Regions from separate parts of the Mus musculus genome. Here regions 1, 2 and 4 are each reported to be linked to region 3. Evidence: microRNA targets listed by miRTarBase, many of them from high-throughput screens and not tested one by one. Region 3 holds a microRNA gene; each other region holds the end of a gene's coding sequence.
What was found. Region 3 holds the annotated microRNA mmu-miR-223-3p (UGUCAGUUUGUCAAAUACCCCA, at 1,763-1,784, opposite strand). A microRNA usually pairs through its seed, bases 2 to 8, with sites in the 3' UTR of a target mRNA and lowers its output. Matches are read on the target gene's strand: a 7mer-m8 pairs with bases 2 to 8, a 7mer-A1 pairs with bases 2 to 7 and ends in A, and an 8mer does both.

Region 1: miRTarBase lists Ptbp2 as a target of mmu-miR-223-3p. Seed matches in the 3' UTR shown: 8mer at 1,747-1,754.
Region 2: miRTarBase lists F11r as a target of mmu-miR-223-3p. Seed matches in the 3' UTR shown: 8mer at 3,698-3,705.
Region 4: the mRNA of Dnm3 is a reported target of mmu-miR-223-3p. The part of its 3' UTR that is shown has no 7-base or 8-base seed match.

Annotation. Positions count from the first base shown.
Region 1 is chr3:119,716,045-119,721,110 of GRCm38, reverse strand. Ptbp2 (polypyrimidine tract binding protein 2) reads left to right here. Exons shown (of 14, transcript NM_001310711.1): 12 at 106-322; 13 at 427-504; 14 at 654-2,369. The coding sequence ends at 783. Among named protein-coding and RNA genes, the nearest start is that of Ptbp2, 65 kb to the left of the region's middle.
Region 2 is chr1:171,462,250-171,467,315 of GRCm38, reverse strand. It overlaps F11r (F11 receptor), which reads right to left. Exons shown (of 10, transcript NM_172647.2): 8 at 4,701-4,713; 9 at 4,376-4,427; 10 at 2,723-4,257. The coding sequence ends at 4,222. Among named protein-coding and RNA genes, the nearest start is that of F11r, 27 kb to the right of the region's middle.
Region 3 is chrX:96,239,592-96,244,667 of GRCm38, reverse strand. Mir223 (microRNA 223) reads right to left here and starts at 1,851; the gene lies at 1,742-1,851. F630028O10Rik (RIKEN cDNA F630028O10 gene) reads right to left here and starts at 4,742. Exons shown (of 3, transcript NR_030718.1): 1 at 4,672-4,742; 2 at 4,155-4,255; 3 at 1,026-3,630.
Region 4 is chr1:161,987,814-161,992,879 of GRCm38, reverse strand. Dnm3 (dynamin 3) reads left to right here. Exons shown (of 21, transcript NM_001038619.2): 21 at 789-5,066. The coding sequence ends at 858. Among named protein-coding and RNA genes, the nearest start is that of 4930558K02Rik, 11 kb to the right of the region's middle.

The sequences.
Region 1 (5,066 bases), not on the chromosome of region 3:
ATAAATTCATGATTTTTAAGTTGTAAGAAAATTCAGAATTTCCAAATTAGAAGTATTTTTATCCTAAACTTTTGATATTTTAATAGGTATTCTTTATTTTCCTAGCCATGAATCATCTTAATGGGCAGAAGATGTATGGAAAAATTATTCGTGTTACTCTCTCTAAACATCAGACTGTGCAACTACCTCGAGAGGGACTTGATGATCAAGGGCTAACAAAAGATTTTGGGAATTCACCACTGCACCGTTTTAAAAAACCGGGATCCAAAAACTTTCAGAACATTTTCCCTCCTTCTGCTACCCTTCACCTGTCTAACATCCCGTGAGTATCTATTTCAGCTCATGACTGAGCACAGTCATATTATCAGCCAAGCAGGTCTATGGTTATCTGTATTCATCTGGACTCTCCCTGTCTTCTTTTTCTAGCCCTTCTGTAGCAGAAGAGGATCTGCGAACTCTGTTTGCCAACACCGGGGGCACTGTGAAAGCATTTAAGTTTTTTCAGTAAGCAAGCTTCTTTGTCTTAAAATGTGTGACTTGATAGAACTTAAATTTTTTTTTCAAATATATCTATTTATTTACCTCAAATGGGTGAAAATCAGTGTTTAAACTCTTCTTATGAAGTATCTAATTTCATAATTTTGTTTCAGAAGAGATCACAAAATGGCTCTTCTTCAGATGGCAACAGTGGAGGAAGCTATTCAGGCTTTGATTGATCTTCATAATTATAACCTTGGAGAAAACCATCATCTGAGAGTGTCTTTCTCCAAGTCAACAATCTAAGCACGGGAGATGAAGATGGCGGGCAGATCCCATTGTTGGTGTCATCACCTATTGACTGTTCAGAAAAGTGGGGACCAGAGTTTGATTTTTTTCATGCTGTTATCATTCCTTGGTTATAAAATGAAATGGCATATGTAAAGGCAGAGTTGCTAACTGCTGTGTTTCATCTGTTCAATAGGGAAGCCATTTTTGTCTGTTTAAATTTTTAGTTTAATTTTGCTTTTTTTTTTTTTTCCAACTTAGTTGACATACGTGCCTTACAAAGGAAAACTAGTGTTGCTATTCTGCATTTACTAGGAAAAAGGAATTGGTTGTTTAGGGCACATCGTTATGTGGGAATTAAAATATGTTTGGGCAGGGGTGTGTCAAAAGGTTAAGTTTTTATTTCTCCTGCTTGGAACTTTCTTTGAATTATTGGCTTATCACATTTCTTTCTATTTAATCTAATAAGATACTTGATACTGAGAGTATAAAACAGCATTTTTAGTTTTTACTATCTTAGGCTTTATTGCTTTTGAAAACATTGGCCTTTTGTATCTCACAAATCTGGTCTAGATTCAGTTATGAATGTAGGCATTAGTTAAAATTAACAAGATGCAGAGTATTAATTTCTTAAGACAAGTGATTTCTGTAAGTTTGAGCCCTATGTGGAAAGCATTGTGGAACCTTAACCTTTTTGTACACACTCTTGTGGGACGTGTCATATAAATGTCAGCACTAAGTAATGTCTTGTTTGTGGCTGAATATTTTTCGTAGATGTTTTTGAAGTTGACATGACTTACGTGCATTTAAATATATATTGCCATCCTTAGTTTGTAATTAAGATTTGGAAAATGGTTGTGGATTTCTGAGCATGTGCAGACTGGTCTAGCTAGTTCAGGAACTGGTGCATGTATTTTTCAAAGACAAAGAAAGTGTACTGCGAAAACTTGCAGGAAGATTAATTTTGTGGCAGTTTTCTAAAACTGACAACCAGGTGGGACCAAAGTTTATGTGCCTTTAGTCTTAATTTACCTTGCATTGTAATATTCAGTTTTAATAAATCTTCAAAATATTTTGTATTTAGGAATAGATCTGACTTTAATAAAAACATGGCTCAGAATCTACAGGTCAAATTTATTTGAACAGTTCTTGTCAATCTGAATTGTTGATTCTGTTAAATGACCAATACTTTTTGAAATTGATGTACTTAGTTTCAAGATTCATAGATTCTGTTATCTATGTAGACAGAATGGTCATGTATATTTTCTATTAGTTGAGTTTTTACATCTTTAGAAATGTAAAATTCAGTATAGTTTGAAAGCGGCACAATTAAAAATTAATTTTCTAACAAAGTTGGGAGGTTTGATGGTTGTTTAATTTCACTTTGTGTGTACTCTGCTTACCTCTGTAGCATGCTCAATAAACACTTCTGTAGCTCTGTATTCACCTTTTCTGTCTTTCTCTGCTGCCTTTTCTCTCTCTCCTTTGTTTTCACTCCACTGTGCTTCTGAGTTCATGTTTACTCTGCCAGGGTGGGAAAGGAGTAATACTATCACAATCCTATGGCTTTATACCATAAATAAATCCAGATGCTGTGAAAATGCACCAGCTGTTCCTTTTTTTAATGCAAAAGTCGGTAACTGCTTTTTCAGGAGGACACATATTAAACATTTCCCACCCTGTTTATAATCTGCTTTAAAGACATAACTTCTATTGTAGCTTGTTAATTCTCTCTATCTCTTTTGTTGTTGTTGTTGTTTTCCCGTAGATTTATGCACTAATAGGTCTTTTGGATTTGCCATGCTCTCTTGCTGCAGTTTCATCTTTCATCTTTGTGTCTGCTCTAGATTTCCTACTAATTTTAGACTACTACTGAGTTTTAACAAAGGGTTCTGCTGTTACTGGAAAGAAAGGACTATGGCATTGGCTTCTATTTGAGTGCCATAGGGTATATACATGCAGGCTTTTAAACCGCAGGTGCTGTCCTCCTCACTCTTTATACTGATGCTGTCATCAAGCTATTTTCTTTTTTTTTTGGTAACTTTATATATACAAATACTGGTATCAATTAACTTTGGTGTTAATACATGTATACCTCAAAGTCACACACTGGACATTAGGGTCATTTTATAAAAATGAAGAATCATGTTTAAAAGTATTGTTCTTTTCACAAGAGTCTACTCAACTCCAAGAAGTACAGTAAGTAGGAATGGTTCCGTTTCAGAGTTAAGAATTTGAGTGTTGCTCTTGTTTGTTTGTTTGTTTGTTTGTTTTTAAAGTGATGTTGCAGTATTGTGACCAGGTACAGGAAGATCAGCTATGCCTTAATTCTGTTAGTTTACAACCAGCATTGGGACAGAACTGTGTGTGGTTTTCTTTGGGATTGCATGGAGGCTCCAATACTTGAAAATAGATGTTGCTCTTTGTTTCAGGTAGTTATTTGTAGGTTACACTTGCTTAAAAGGAAAAACAAGGTTCTAGGCTACATTAAGACACTGGGAGGAGTTCCAGATCGCTCTCTAATGACAGAGAGCAAGGTCCCTCCCCACCTCCTGCCCATCCAGGGTGTGGCTGGCTTTACCCTCTTTTAATAATTTCCATCAATATGGTCTTATTTTAAAAGTATCAAGATATTGAAGTGGGAAGTTTGACATCTAGAATTCTTAAAGTTCAGTGCATTAGATTAGAATAGCACTCTATCAAAAGAACATGAGGTAAAAGTCCTGTTGCTTTATGTTGTTATGCTCACTGCCGCAGTCTCTCACACTAGCTAACCTTACAGCATTTTCAGTGTTCAGCTGCTTTGTTAGTAAAAGCTTTCTCTTGGGAATTTAGAAACAAATAAATTGAATTTTTATAATTGAGAGAAAAACTTTCTTTTAATAAACAAGATTTGCTTTTGACAATGTATTTCAAATCACCTACATAAGAAGGGGATTGATTCATATTGATTACATTTTATGTTGGACACCTATTTCTTTGTATGAAATCCACTAAGACCTTTGCCAGGAAGAAGGTAACAGAGTTCTATGAAATCGGTAAAAATTTTATTAGCAATATTGAGGTTTTTAAGGTTAGGATAAGAAACTATGTTAATTGGCATAATTAGTTCATATGTATCTGTTTAAACTACCAGATGTATAGTTTCAGAGGAAGGACAATTTTCCTAAGTCTAAAAGTAAAATGGAGTCCATAAAGTTACACCCAGTACTCAGGAAGCTGATGCAGGAAGGGTAGGCTGTCCCAGCTGTGGCACTCTGTGTTAAGCAAAAAAATGTTAAGTGCCAGTATTCCTACCTTGCCAGGTTTGCCTGTAGTTATCAACACTCCAGATCGTCCCACTGTCTTTCTTACTGTTGCAAAGAAATGTTTGTTAATGTTTTAAAATCACCTAAATGCTACTTTTTAACAGTAGAGTGCCATGACAGAATGCATCCCACAGCTCAAGGATGCCCAGCCTCAAATTTCATTTGAACTACTTGATAGTTGAGTAATAAAGTATAGCTTTTTGGAGTTACAGACTCCATATAAAAGGCTTATATTATGTATAAGCCTTTACAATTTGCTGTGAAACTTGAAGATAATTCTAACCATACTAAAGATTTTTCCAGCATAAGATGGAAAAAACGGCATAATTTTCTGAGTAACCCAGGACTTTATACAAGATGGGAACATCGGTCTCCATTCAGAGCATAAGAATATAGAATTATTTCATGAAATTGAGCACACAAAGGGTTCTATTTCAGCTGAACACTGCTTTCTAGAAAGTCTGATAAGAAATGTGAAAAATTATTAAACTGGTATTGGAGTGTTGGCTGGTTGTCAGTCTCCGTGACATAGTCATTTAAGAAGTCTTACATAGACTTTATTTCCTGTAGGTTATCTTCGTAGTTTGATTTTGTGAGTAGTGTACATTTTAAAGTTACATTATCAGTAATTCAAAGTAAAAAACAAGTGTGTAAAGATGGAGAGAGCAGCATGCATCAGAGCTGCCCACTCGGCTCTGCTGAGTGTACACTGCCTTGCCTGCCCCCTTTCCTACCTCTTTCCCATCTTTTTTTTTTTAATTCTTTTTTTATTAGATTTTTCTTTATTTACAAAAGAAGTCATTAGATATGCACTCACTGATAAGTGGATATTAGCCCAGAAACTTAGAATACCCAAGATACAATCTGCAAAACACAAGAAAATCAAGAAGAGGGAAGACCAATGGGTGGATACTTCATTCCTCCTTAGAATAGGGAACAAAATACCCATGAAAGGAGTTACAGAGACAAAGTTTGGAGCTAAGACGAAAGGAT
Region 2 (5,066 bases), not on the chromosome of region 3:
GTGATGGATGCGGGCGCCCAAGCCCACCCCAGAGGCTGCGGGAGGACACTGGGCATCTTCCTCTGTCAAACTCTGTCTTATTCCCTGGAGACAGGGTCCTTCACTGAAACTGAGGCTCACAGCCAGTCTCCAGGAATCCTTTTGTCTCTGCCCTCCTTAGAGCTGGGATTACAGACCACATTTGGCTTCCATGTGGATGTTCCGGATTCAAATTTAGCTCTTTGTGCTTGTTCAGTAAAAACTCTTACCCACGGAGCCATCTCCCCAACCCCATCCTAGGGGTGCAGCTGTCAGAAAAGCATTTTTTTTTGTTTTCGGTTTTTGTTTTGAGACCAGACTGCGTTCTCCACCTGCCTCCACCTCTTGCGTGCTGGGATTAAAGGCATAAGCACCACCACACCCAGCTAATTTTTTTGTTTTGTTTTGTTTTGTTTTTGTCAGGAAGTTTTAAAACCGAGTAAAAGAAAAGAGAAGAAGTTATGGTGCACGCCTTGTATTCTAGCAAGAAGTGTTCGGAACAGAAAGAGGAAGGAGGTTTGCAAAAACTGATCCACTAGCCAATTCAGTTCCAGGTCAGCCAAAGTCACACAGTGAGACCCAGTGTGAAAGAAAAGAGAAGTGAAGGGGAGAGGAGGGGAGGGGAAGGCAGGGGATGGGATGGGAGGAGAAAAAAGGAAAAGATGGTAAGAGAGAAAGGAAAGAGAAAAAAGGAGAGAAAGCCCTGTGTTGTCATACACTTGTTCTGACAGAATTTAGGAGGCAGAGGTAGGCAGATCAAGAATTCAAGATCATCTTCAGCTACAGTGAGTTCAAAGTCAGCTTGGAGAACATATTAATCCTTCAAAAAAAGGGGGGGGGAGGGGGAGCTGGAGAGCTGGCTCAGCGGTTAAAAGCACTGACTGCTCTTCCAGAGGTCCTGTGTTCAATTCCTAGCAAACACATGGTGGTTCACAACCATCTGTAATGGGATCTGATGCCCTCTTCTGGTTTGTCTGAAGACAGAATACTCATATAAATAAAATAAATCTTTTTTTTTTAAAAAAAGGGGGGGGTGGGCTAATAAGGGGAAGTCATAATCATGTCTTCTGGTAGTAAGTTGAGCTTCCACTCTTTCTCTGCTTAGATAGTGCTTTCTGTTGTCGTGGCAACTCTCAGCTATCTGCTAGGAGGGTTCATTATTTTGCAAGCAGAAATGTTGTGAGGAAGGCAGCCATCTTTGATCCAACCACTTTCTGCTAGGCAAGATCACCAAGCAATACTACCCATAAGGGACTTTGTAGGGCTAAGAGAGCTTGTGCTTATCATAGAGAGTTCACCAACGCAGGGTTTATATGGGCTCCTTTGGGGACGGGCTTTCCAAAGTGGCCTAGGATTGGAGGCATTGTGTGGTCTGATCTTTAGGGCAAACTCAGGATTGGTGGAATTTTTTTTCCATATAGGGTGGGGCCTGGCCATTCTCCTGCCTCAGGCTGGGAATGGCCATTACAGCCATTAGAAAACAACCCTTGGAGCAGTTAGAGAAGCCTGGGAGCGGGGCTTAGCCATATTACCGGCCCCACATTGTGGGTCTAGAACTACAGTTACAGCTGTTTTATCCTTTCTGGCTATGAGGAAAGACAGGGGCGGGGCCTAGCTGCTGGAGCTTCTCATGGGGAGCGGGGTGTGTGTGTGTGTGTGCTGGCCCCCTGCAGGGCTTGAGTTTATAAAATATACAAAATTTGGTAATCTCTAGGTTCAGTTGAGAGAGGTGGAAAACTATTGAGGAAGCCACCTAACACTGATCTCTGGCCTGCACGTTCGTCGCACCTACATGCAAGCACACACCTGCAAGAACAGACATCACACGAAAGCAGAACAAGAAAATACCTCGTTAGAGACTCTTTGGCTTCTGCTTTCCAGCAAATAAATTCAATAGACACACAGAACACAAAGACAGCTGTGTTTATTACAGTCTCATCAGAGGACGGTCAGTGACCATCAAAAGACCACCGTAAGCCGGGTGTGTTTAATCCCAGCACTCGGGAGGCAGAGGCAGGCGGATTTCTGAGTTCTACACAGAGAAACCCTGTCTCGAAGGGAAAAAAAAAAAAAAAAAAAGACCACCGTAGAGGAAAATACCCTAACCCTTATTTCTTAGACAGGCTTTATTATGTTACTATTATTTTAGATGGATCCCCAGTGAATTTTGTTGTTGGTTGGTTTTTCTTTTTAAAAGATTTATTTTATGTATATGAGTACATTGTAGCTGTCTTTTTTAAATTTTATTTTTCTTTTTACTTTTTTGATTTTTTTTGAGACAGGGTTTCTCTGTGTAGCCCTGGCTGTCCTGGAAAACTCACTCTGTAGACCAGGCTGGCCTCGAATTTAGAAATCTGCCTGCCTCTGCCTCTCAAGTGCTGGGATTAAAGGCATGAGCCACTCCTGCCCGGCTGTAGCTGTCTTTTTTTTTTTTTTTAAAGATTTATTTATTATTATACATTAATACACTGTAGCTGTCTTCAGACGTACCAGAAGAGGGTGTCAGATCTCATTATGGGTGGTTGTGAGCCGCCATGTGGTTGCTGGGATTTGAACTCAGGACCTTTGGAAGAGCAGTCAGTGCTCTTATCCACTGAGCCATCTCGCCAGCCCTGTAGCTGTCTTAAAACCAAGAAAATCAACCCTGTCTCGAAAGTAAAAACAACAACAACAAAAAAAAAAACATAAAAAAAATTCCAAGTATGGAATGGAATAGTTTAATTAAACTGTCCCCATGCACCCTGAGGAAAACTGTCACTTCATTCCCAACCGAACCCCTTTTCCAACCAATCGGTCCTTACTTCACAGATCCTGCCAAAATAAAAAACAGCCGAGTTGGTTGAAGTTTGAGACGTCTGAAGCGCAGCGTAGTTATGAGAGCCTCGTTCATTATTCTTCTTCTCTATAGAAGGGCCCAAATGGTAAGAGAGCAATGACCATCAGACCTATCTTGCTAATTGCTGCTTTCTCAAACATTTGATGATGGAGGAACTCTCCCTTAGAGGACGACTTGGGGAGGTCCACCATGAAGGCCAGGCAGGAGAGTGCACAGACACTTCCTCCGCCCACTTCACGAAATCCCCCTCCAGCACAGCAGCACCTTCCTCGCCCACGCAGCAGCAGGAGGCTACGGAACAGCTCTGATGCCCGGAAGCTTTGCCTTGAGTTAAGAATATAGTCCTGGGAATCAGCCATGGGTTGCTGGGAAGCAGAACTTTTGTGTCTTTTCTTGTTTATACAAAGTAGCTCACAATCCCTAAAATATTCCATGTTCAACAAAAAAGAAGTCTGTCAAATGAAGTTTTTATTTCCAGCAACATCTGTCAAATATAAACACACAGAAACACAACCTTGCCAAAGAGCTAGAAAGCCCTTCTATATAACAATATCAATTTACAACTCTCTCTCTCTCTCTCACACACACACACACACACACACACACACACACACACACACACACACACACACACACACACACGAGGCCACCAAAGAGCCAAGACTATAAAGCTCGTATCTTCTCCATCCACACATATCTTCAAAGGGTCCATGCGGTAGTTCCAGCCAAATGAAGAGTGACTAATGGCCACCAGTTCCAGCCTTTTCTTTAGATCACTTTAAATCTTTCTTACTCCAAGTCTCTTGGGAGCTAACAGAGCTCTCCCACCTCGTACGGACACCATGTCAGTTTACTTTGAATCCAGGAGAATCCCAGTGGCACATTTTGTGGAGACAGAAGAGAGGCTCCGAAGACTAGAGACCTGAGGTCACCATCCTCAGCCCCTCCTTTCTGCAGCTCCCCCTCTAGAGTAGCTGGCACCCCATCCGGGGAGGAGAAAGCAGGGAGCTAGGCTTAAAGTCCTTATTCAGAGGCCTTTACAGCCAGGTATTGGTTTGGGTTCCTGTCAGCCCAGCCACTATTACTGTCTAGTCTAGGACTCTTGCCCAATCCCACATAGGAATGGGGAACGAAAACTTTGTAATTAGTCTCGGGCCACCCAATGGTGGTAAGGAAAGGAGGGAGGGTGGGAAAGAGGAGGGGGAAGTAGATGATGTTTTTAAATTTATACCCTAGCTAGAATAAAAGCAAGGGGTCCTGTGGGACCTAGAAGACATTGAAGGCATCCTGTGCAGCTACAGCCAGCAGGGGGCTGGAACCTGTAGCACCTGAGTAAGGCAAATGGACAACGGAGGAGCCGCAGCAGGTCACACCAGGAACGACGAGGTCTGTTTGAATTCCCCCTGGGAAATAAAACATCCAGTCAACTTCACAGTCTCGTTTTGCTCACAAACACGCAAAGAGGCTAGAAACGGCCACTTGAAGCACAAGGCCTCCCCTCCTCGGGGCAGGTACACTCACCTCACTTCGAGTACTGGGCTGGCTGTAAATGACCTTCTTACCCGGTGCAGTCCTGTGGGCAAACCAGAAATGGGGGACACTCAGGCCCGAGTAATTGATGTATCTGTGCACTATCAGGGCCAGAATGGAGGCATACTTTGCAGAAAAAGTGAGTGTTTAGAAGGAAGGAAAAGTTCAGGAGACAAGAACAGAAGTCTAGGCTGTCATCCTCTCCAAAACAGCTACTTCCACCCCACCCCTATTCCCACCCCCAGGGCTCAGCTCAGCTCCAAACCACACACATCCACGATCTTATGAAAGAACCCTGGGACAGCACCATGCTCACCCTTTCTTTGTTCCTGAAAAAGAAAAAACAAAAAAAGTGTACTGACAATTCTGGAATTTCACTTTCTTTACAAAACACAGACATAAGAATATGCTTTTGTTTTAATCACAGATGTGAAGACATGAGGCTGAAGCAGCTGATTATGATTTGCCTCGTGCTCTGATAGAGGTGCGGTTTTGCCAGCTGCAGATCAGTTTTGACATTTGGAATTCTGGGAACTTTTTAGAGGGTATACAGATGCTAGGGCCCCAAGAGGCAGGGCAGCTGGCTGTTGATCAAACAGGAGTGGGGGGGTGGGGATTTGGAAAGAAATTAGATTGGAAGATTTTTTTTTTCTACTTTGTTTCTCTCCTATCTATTGTTAGG
Region 3 (5,076 bases):
CCAGCCTCCACAACCTGGGTACCACCCAGTAGAAACCTCAGCTTCCTTCATGAAACATCTGTGAGTCCAGCCCTGAAAGCCTTGAAAACACCCTTTATCTCATTCTGCTCTTTAGAATTAATCCCTGGGCTTGAAGAGAGAATGTTTATTGAAATTGCCCTAGTAAAGTGAGCCACAAATTCAGGGAACCCCCAACACTGGAACCACCAGGAATGTCTCCTATTCTTGCATGTGAAAATGTTTACAGATTACTTATCTGAACATTCACATACCACAAATTGGGAAGTGAAGCCCAGAGAGAAATGAAGGTTTGTCAAAAGTAACATACATCAAGTCAATGGCAGAACAAAGACTGGAGGTTAGACCTGTGGATTTTTAGCAGTGTGTGTACTTTGCTGCAGACATCTTCTGAAGATGGTCTTTGTCCCTAAACAATGGTATTTTTCCATGCAGGGTAAGCCAGTAAGTCATCCCTAGATAGAGATGCATCCCTCCGACAATTCTGAGCAAAATTGGGGTAACAATATGGGTCTTGTTATTTAGGTCACTGGTTAGTGGGTGAAAAGTTAAAGAATGAAAGTAGGTATCTCCAGAACCAAGGGAGAGTATGGAATTTCTCCAGAACCAAGGGAGAGTATGGAATTTCTCTAAAGAAGCTTGCCAAAATATATGTTATGAAATGTTAGACTCTGGAGAGAGGGATTGGAGATGCTTCATTTTATAGTTCTATATTAGAAGTTCACCCCAGTGCAATGATAGAATATTAAAGGCTCAGAAAATTCTGTTTAAAAAGACACGTGTAAACCAATAATTCAAAAAATTTTTCCCTCTGAGTCTATTCTTTCTTCTTGCCCTCCTGCCCCAGACCTAAATCTTATTTCTCAGAGGAAAAAAAAATCCATTTTGGTTACCATCTTGTATACACTATAGCATTAGAATACCCACAGTTTGATTTATTTTTTTCGCAAAACCCTGGTTGGTATTTGACCTATATAGCAAAAGGTTATTGACTAGTAAAACATCAATTAATTGGTAAATATTTATTAATAATTAAAATGTTGGACAATGGTATGAGAGACAGCAATCAACTGAATATAATAAGCTCTAGATTCTTACAATATAATAGGGAATTCAAGAACATACCCTGGAAAAATTCACTGACAACTTTAGAAGATGTGTTGGATGGTAGGACATATAATAGCACATACCAGTATGTGGTTAGCCAAGGAGTAAAGAAAAGTATAGGTTAACTTTCAATAGTGCCAAGAGGAATTGGAATTTGGTAGTGTCTGAAAGCCCAATGAAGATAAACAAGAAGGTTCTTTTAAGAATGATAAAAGCAAAGTGGAAAAGAGAAAATGTAGGTAGCTTAAGATGTGCTCCGAAGGCCAGACAGTGGATATTTATTTCCTACTTTCTCATAGAATTCATGATGCTTGTATGAAAATTCTGCTATTCTGGCTGCAAGAAGAGGAAAGTGAAAGAAGACATTAATAATAAATCAAATAATACTCTCATTCCCTGTATCCCTCATGTACCACTATGCAGTCCATGGCATTTTCACAATGTACACAGATGCATACCAGACTTGTAGACCCCAGAGCTGCATCGTTCCTACTCTGATGTTCTCTGAATAAATGTTATAGTTCCCTTAAAGACATAGAATAACACCAGAGAGCTTCATGTTTCATAAGCATTCATATGTAGGCAGCAGGCTATGTGCTCTGTCCTGGACCTGGAGCTGATAGGCATGAGCCACACTTGGGGTATTTGACAAACTGACACTCTACCACACAGAGTGTCCAACTCAGCTTGTCAAATACACGGAGCGTGACACTGCAGATGGCCAGATCAGGAACCTCCACTGGGCAGCAAGAACATGCTGGAAGATGTGCAACTGGAAAGAGAAAAAAATAGGGTGATTATATCTTACCCTAAGTGTGAGACAAATGGCAGACACTAACATGACTGACTAAGACACACCAAAAGAGGGAAGTGAACAAAACACGCTAATGCTCCAAACAAAAACGGGGATCCTGGGTGTTTGTCTGGAGATTCTGGTGGCCCAAGCCTCAATTAACTCTTCTATTCAGCTGAAACAGGAAAAAATTGTCATCATTCTGTCCTCGGGGACAATTTATGTGTTCCTTCCTCCTATCAACTTCTTGTATGCTCTGTTTACCCTGGTTATGTACCTAGATGTTGATTTTTAAAACTGGATTTGAATTCTACCTCTACCATTAACTAGCTGAACACCTTAAATAAATGAGTTTATGTCCCTGAAACCTACTTCTTCCATAGCCACAAAAATGCCCATGAAATCATGGCAAGAATATGTAATAATGCATATAAAGCCATTAATTTAGTGTTTGTTACCTAACAAATACTCAAAAATTGTGGCTATAGCCAGGTATGATAGTACATGTGTGCATACAAGCTTTCATAGACAGAGATAGGAGAACCTCAGATTTAAAGTCAATTTGGGCTATATAATACTACCCTTTCTCAAACAAAAAAGTAAACAATCAAGATCTAGAGATAAAACTCAGTAGCAGAACACTTACCTAACTTGTACAATACTCTGTATTTGATCCCCTGTACATAAATAAAAGTGACTAAAATGTGCTTTAAAATTAAACATATAAGATAGATACTAACAGGGGAAAAGATAGATAATTTATTTAACAGAATTGAAACAGTAATTTCTTGTGGCCTTAGCCGGCTTTGTCTAACTTGGTTGCCTTTTCTCATAAGCAGTAAAGAATTAATGATATTAAAATGCCCTTATAAGTCATCTAGTTTTACCCATTCAAGATTATAAATGAGAAAATGAAGTCTGATGTTTAGGGAAAGACTTCCAAAAGGTCATAAAACAAGTTGTTTACAGTTTGGGAATTATATCATCCATCAGCTCATTGTGTCCCTTGGCTGTCCACCCCACCACTTTTTCTTGTCTGCTTTTTATATTCCCTTGCAAAAGGGAGAGCAACAGCAACAAAGAGCAAAACAGGCAGTGGATTTTGCAGGGAAGTATTAAGATGTTTGAACTCATAGCTACCAGGGCAGCTGCCAGAAGAGCCAAGCCATCTCAATTTATTTGATATTTTGTTTAGCATCATGATCCTGTTATTCAAAATGCTTGATAGTATCAAATTTTGTCCTACCCAGGTTTAAAGTTTTCTTGGGCATCAATTGTCTTCTCTAGAAATAGAGACAGAAATCTTACATCTCAAGGTCTTGAAAAATGTTGGATGAGACTTCTAGAGCTTTTTAGAAGGGAGCTTAAAGAGACCTTATTTCCAACTCTGGAGCTAGTAAAAGCCAAGGAAAGTGATTAAAAGAGAAAGGAGTAATGGGTTATTGGTTTTGGTTTTCTTGACAGCATCTCTGCTTATCATCTGCTGTAAGGAGAGCTAGACACTTTAGAGATATCCATAGCCTCTCAATTGCCCTATCCGACCTCACATAACCCAAGAACACTGGAAAAGAGCCATGAAAGGGGCTAAAGAGTTCTAGTGCACTGACTTAATAGATTATTATAAATACTGTTTTCCAGGATTGATGGAGAAGTCAGTCCTTAAGCTGGGTAAGGGACTATTTCATTTTCATTCTTGATGTTCCAGTTCACACCTATTCAGAGGAATACATATAAGAGAAGCAAGTTTAGTTGATTAAAGTTAGTCAGACCCATAAGAATGAAGACATAGATGACTACATAGTCAGTCTTCATGACGCAAATTGAAAGGCATAAGCTTGGTAAAAGAGGTATAAGATTTTACCAAAAATCTATAAATGTCCAGAATAAGCCACATATCAGAAAATATATTTGGTGATAAAGAAGTACTCAGGACCATGTCTTAATATCCAGATTTTTTTCAATATAAGGAGAGTCACCTGCCTCAGTTGCAGGATACCCATTATTTCTTGGTATCTCAGTCCTCCTAAAGCAGAAGAAAAAGGACACTGTCCTGGGCTTAGACTGAGTTGTAGTACAGGTTTTCTGTGTGGCCTTGGGAAACTACCTTTTCTTCTCTCAGGACCTCTGTTCCTCACATATATATTTGTCCTCACGTCTATGTGCCTTTTAAATTCTGAAATTGGAGTAGTGACTTACAAAACTAGAAAAAAAAGAACCTTTCATGTTTTAGTCATACCTTTCAGACCACCAGCAGTTTTCTAAAGGATGTTCAGCTCTGCCTAGAGGTGTACATTCAAGCAGCAGTCTCATCTTCTTTCCCAACCAAAGACTGGTAACCTTCAAAATAAGAGACATAGAGGCTAAGACATTAAATAGCATCTCACCTTTGTCTTTCTCTTCTCTGCAAAAGGGACTCAAACACTGAGTGCTAGACTATAGAAACAACTCACCCAAAGAAAAGTAACAGATATAGAACAAAATTTAAAATGCTATTTAGAACTCCTAACTCCTGGCTCTGATAAGCATTTAACTTCTACATGACTATCTTCTAAAAGCCATCATTTGTTAGAAATTTTTGTGTCCCTTCTCTCTATCACATGGATAGAAAGTGAATAGAAACCTTCATCAGTCTTATCTTTGACCCTTTATCAGTAACTGGGATCTGAGAGTCAGTTAGGCATATCCAGAACACTGAAAGCTGTTGTGGGCACTGTTTCAGCATGGGAATCTAAGAGAACAAGTAGATACTATACCTGTCATTGAAGTGGTGCCTTTGTCTTGGATGGGATATAGGTGCTGAGCCGAACTATAGAGGCCACAGAAAGCTGAGTTTTATGTTGTGAGCAGGAAGGTCACATGTTCTGAAGGACTCTTGGTGTCATGAAGAGGAAACAGAAATGAGGAAGATAAAGTTGAGGCTAACCAACGGAAATCTGGGTACAAAATGACAAAACAGAGCTATTGTGAAAGGAGTAGTTGCTAATGCAGCAATAGCCCCTACTGCTCTGTCTCCACCCATTCTCAACCAACCTCCAAAAACACTGACTTCCCATGCTACAGAGTGGGAAAGCAGGAAGTACAAGTTTCCTTTGTGTTCTGCCTATGAAGCAAGGAAGTTTCCCTAGAGCAATTGAGGGAATCTTTAAATATCAGAGCTA
Region 4 (5,066 bases), not on the chromosome of region 3:
AAGGCTCATTAACATATTTGTGACATAAATATAATTTCAAGAGATAAATAATGTGACTTGATAATATTGAGCTTTTTGGGTACAATAACACTGAATATCGTGCAGATGACTTTCAGAAACACTGCAGCCAACCAGATAGCAGCCAGTACTACTACGAATCTTGGCGAACCCCGTAAGACTCCAAACAGGAGCTGTCCTTCACGCAGCTTACCAGGAAACTCATACCCATTGAGCCTGTTCACAACCACTGCAAAAAAAAACTCCAAAAGCCTTGGCTTCCTGTTTTTGATGGTCTGCATTAAAAGCAGAAGGGAAAAGATTGGGGAAAGCCACTGCTAAGGCAGAGAGCAGTGGTCGATAACACCCTGGCAGAGACAGGGAACACTGAAAACCAATGCTGAGACTTAATACATCTTATCAGTTCCTGGAGTGGGTATACCTAAGTATAGGCCACTCTCTCTAACTACTGTGCTTGACTGCCACAGATCCGAGCAGTGATGTTTCACAGTGGCCTCTAAGTCATTCCACATTTGCACTCGTATTGGGGGGAAATAAAATCTCTTTGGTTTTCATAAAGATTTGCATAACGAAAAACTACACAATTTCCACTGGGAACTGGGCTACCCCGATGACTCAGAGAGGAGAGTCTGAGAGTCGCTGCAGTGTGTGGCCACTCTTCCTGGCCGGAATTGCATGTGCATGCGCATGGTGGCTCTATGTCAGTGTTCTGAAGAGACAACTACTGCTACAACACCTGTTCCCTTACCTGTCTCTTTCTCTTTTTCTAGCCGGAGGCCACCCCCATCACCAACTCGCCCCACTATAATCCGTCCACTAGAATCCTCACTGTTAGACTAAACGAAGTGTCCGGCATGGCAATTAACCACTAATGATTTATGCAAACGCAGCACATTCGGTAACCTTTGCAGCTCAACCATGAGTAGTCGCATGTATGGACCTCTATAGGCAAGTAGCCAGTCTTACTAATGTGTTCACCAACTCATCTTCATTGCTCATGGTATGTCAGACCTTTGGGGTTTGACTCCGAAAACCTGCTAACCTGTAGAGAGGCTTAAATATGTTGTATTGACCAAGGTAGTTTTATACAGCAGCCCTATACTTTGGTACCATTTGTCTACCCAACATATATCAGAAGTTGCTTTGGAAGAGCTTTCTAAGCTGTCTACAGAGAAGCTTATGACGACTCTTAACAGATACAAGAGTGTGAGCTTGGAACCATACCGACCTTCCGCACATTCTGTTTAGGGCAGCAGAAACTCTGCCTTCTGATGTTAACGCCACCATTCAGTCCGCAATTGCTTATTTAGGCTTCTTCCCCCCACCCCCCTTATTTCATAGGACTGCTTTAAAAAAAAAAAAAAGCAAGGTTCTTAAATCAGCATTGCTGAAGATGAAAGCTTTTCAGGAGCCCGAGGCAGTCTGCAAAGGGCAAGTGCCCAGGGCTTGCCCTGGAGAGCCTCTCCTGGGGCTTGTGTGCTGTGCTTTGTGCTAGAGGCACAAGCACCATCCAGGCAAAGCGTGAGGGGTACTGGCAATCAGTTGATAGATTTGGCTCCTTTCAGAGTTCAAAGAAGAAGCAAAAACTAATTGCCATTCTAAAAGTGTCTGAGAAGATAGAATTTATTATCTTATTATTTACCTCTTTGTGAGCTATGATGAAGGAAGGCTGACACTGCAAGTGTTTAATTTTCCAGTTGATTGGACAGCATGGGTAACTAACTCCGTTTAGTTATTGTGACTATTATTTTGGCTGGAAAAAAGTTAAATGTATGCTAGCACATGATTTCTATGGTTTATATATAAATGATTATACAAGAATCCTTTTTAAAAAACGACTTTAGTGTCTCCACCCATTCCAGACTCCCTTAAATCTTACAGCCTACTCTGACACAATTGCATGGCAAGTATGGAACCTGGTATGGGAAGGTGATCCATCAGCGATGCCATGGTTTAAGAGCACGGCCCACGTGTTTCCAGCTTGCTCCTGAAAAACAACATCCTGGCCATACTGAGCTGCAGAACAAGTCTGTAGCCTCTCAGATCTCTAAACTTTACATGAGCAGCCTAGCCTAGAGGTTATTAGTTCAACCTCGAGGCTACGTTTTGAACTACCTATGACCAGATGGTTAGCACATAGGAACCAGCTAGAAGCCAAATGGAATTCTGTCTGCTAACCGCACCCAGACGGCAGAGCGGGCGGGCTTTCACCGAATTGTAGCGTCCCCAGACATTATTCCATAATCACAAAGGTAAATCAGGTTTTACTAACTGCAACATCTCCTTTTGAAGGCAGTCAACATGATTTGTATGCAAACTTCACTTTAATTTCCTGTGCAGTTTCTACCCGAAGCAAGTGGCTATAAAATATGATGTAAAAACTTTTAACCATTATTTTAAAAAGTTTTTTTTTCCAAGTGAAATGCCACTGCATTGAACTTATTCTAATGGGTTAGATCCCACTTTTAATTGGCAAAAATTAGAGAACATGCAACATACAAAGGGGTATTTTTCAACCTTTAAGTGACATAGAAGAGCTCTAATGTCTCTAAATTTTTTTCCCTGTTGAAAAAAAAACCGTGAATGGAACTCGTATAAGACATGCACATTGTCTTTGAAAACAGTGTCCCAACTAAATGAAAAAAAAAAACATACATTAAGCAAATGTTTATAATCAAACAACTCGTGGGCAATGAGGTCTCCCCACAAATCCCTCCTTTCAGCGCCCCCTTTGCTTCTTCCTCTGAATTCTCTAAAACAGGCAGCTAAGGAAATAGATACTTCAGGGTTTGGCTTTGTCCCTCCTCTGCTTGTACATCTTGCTATATTTCAAACCCTTCCTTCTGTTGGAAGAAACTAACTCAGAAAACCACTGGTGTGTTCTTGAATCAGCACAAACCAATGTCAAGGAAAACTGGGGATTTGTCTCTCCACATTTCTTCCCATTGATCCCAGACGGTCGTGAGCAACGGAATGGCACTTGTCATCCTTAGCTCTTGCTTCTTGATCCACAGATTCCTTGTCCCAAATGTCTCCCTGTGTCAGGACAGTTTTGTTCTCTTTGCTACCGAGCTATAATCCCTTACTCCACCACCCCCTCCCCAGAAGTTCAACACTGGCACCCCAGAATATTTTCAGATTGCTGCAGTTCAGAGGGTTTGCACTCTGCTAACAGCAGACACCAACATGAACGAAGCCTGAGGTTTCACTGGCGTGTGCGGAGTGCACGTCAGGCCTCAGGACGGGAATGTAAGCTTGAAGGACCTTCGCTTCGCACTCAGTTTCTAATCTCTCAGTCAACCTCCTGGTTGAGGACACCAAGGTTGTCAGCGCAATAGATGTAGTTTTATCTTGTCTAGCATAATAATAACTTTAAAAAGTGTTTTTAGGATTTGAAAAGGTACATGGTTGATAAGTAAAAGCCAGCTTTCCTGTCACATGCTAACTTACGCATGCAGATTGGCTAGCTGGAATAGCCAACCATTTGTGGATGGACTATGAAACAGGATCGATTTAGCACAGATATATTTCCAAAAATCATCTACCAAGAATACCTTCTTGGATATTGCCTTTAGGTGTGTTTTATAACATAGAAGAGCAGTGGGGTCTATTTACTGGCAATTTCTCTGTTTCTGCAGATACATACCCATTCTATCCAAAAGTGTAACCAAACAGTTCCTGTGATATAAGCATTCTAAATTTAGAATTAAGAGATAGCCACATAGATTCACTTGTGATTGTTAGACCGTATCCATACTCTAAACCATGAGATGGGACCTGACACCAGTCCGTGACAACTGTTGTTTTCTGTGCACTCGTTTTCTCTGCATGTCTCTAGGAATACACTATGTACATAGTGACCACGTATTTTGTGTCCTTTTGAGTAAGTAGGTTCAAAAGCAATTACTAAAACCCCATTAAGCATGAATGTGATTTTATGTGCATCATATATATACATATGAATATAAATATCAGTGTAAGCCTGTGCTCAGTATGTAAGAGTATGAATATATTTTCAACTGTGTTAATATATATGTTGGGAAGACCTGCCATAATATGATTATGGTAGTTCATTTCTCATAACATACATGAGAAACACAGGATCTCCTAACCTATTCTGTATATATTCTGAGGGGCACAAAGCTTATGATAACCATGATGACCACCATAACTATAACCATGACAAAGTAGCGTGATGTCTATGGTCCTTTGCATTGAAACCCACAGCACTGCTACCTAGGAAGGCATTACTTTTTGGGTGAGACTTTGGTTTTTAAAAAATGTAAGAAAGATTTGGAAGCTTTCTCCAGGGTCCCTAGTTAGTATTGTGTTCTCTGGGGATTGTTGAGCTGACTCTTACAAAGAGCTAAGTTAATCTGTGTTGTCCTGAGTTCTCTTCAGTAAAGTTAAAAGAATGCGAAGTCAGCAACACAATGAAAGTAATAGGCCTTTCTGAGCAAACCTGTTAAAACACGTGGGGGACAGGATACTCAATTCCTCGAAGGTATGTTATCTACTCTGACAGGTAAACCTTTGACATTCGGGAAACTGTGCAATCACTTTAAATTGATGGGAATCTCTGCAGGATGAGTAACAAATCCTAAACAGACATCCTAGCTGTCTTAACTCAGTGAGAGATGTCTGTGTTTAAGAAGGAAGCATGAGTTTGTAATTTCACCCAGCACTAGTAGCTGTGAGCTCAGAGTTCCTGCGAAAGAAGCCAACTTTAGAGAAATAATGGATAGTTCACCAGGTCCTTTAGTCTTTTCTAAAGAACTCAGTTTGTCTTCTAGATAATAATAGGCTGTCTGTCTAGCTGATGTGTTTAAAATTGTGTGGTGCTTTGTATGTGAAACTTTAACAATATTTTTGAAGTATATATAGTATATGCATTGCTAGTTGTGTATATATACATACATGTAGTAGTATCTGTATGTGTGGAGAGCAAGAGACAGGAGCCTCAAAGAATCTCCTGCTTAAGATGTGTTAGTACTGGTATACTGGTGAGACTCCTCATTCCACTGCTCAAGGGCTTCACATGTGGCTCA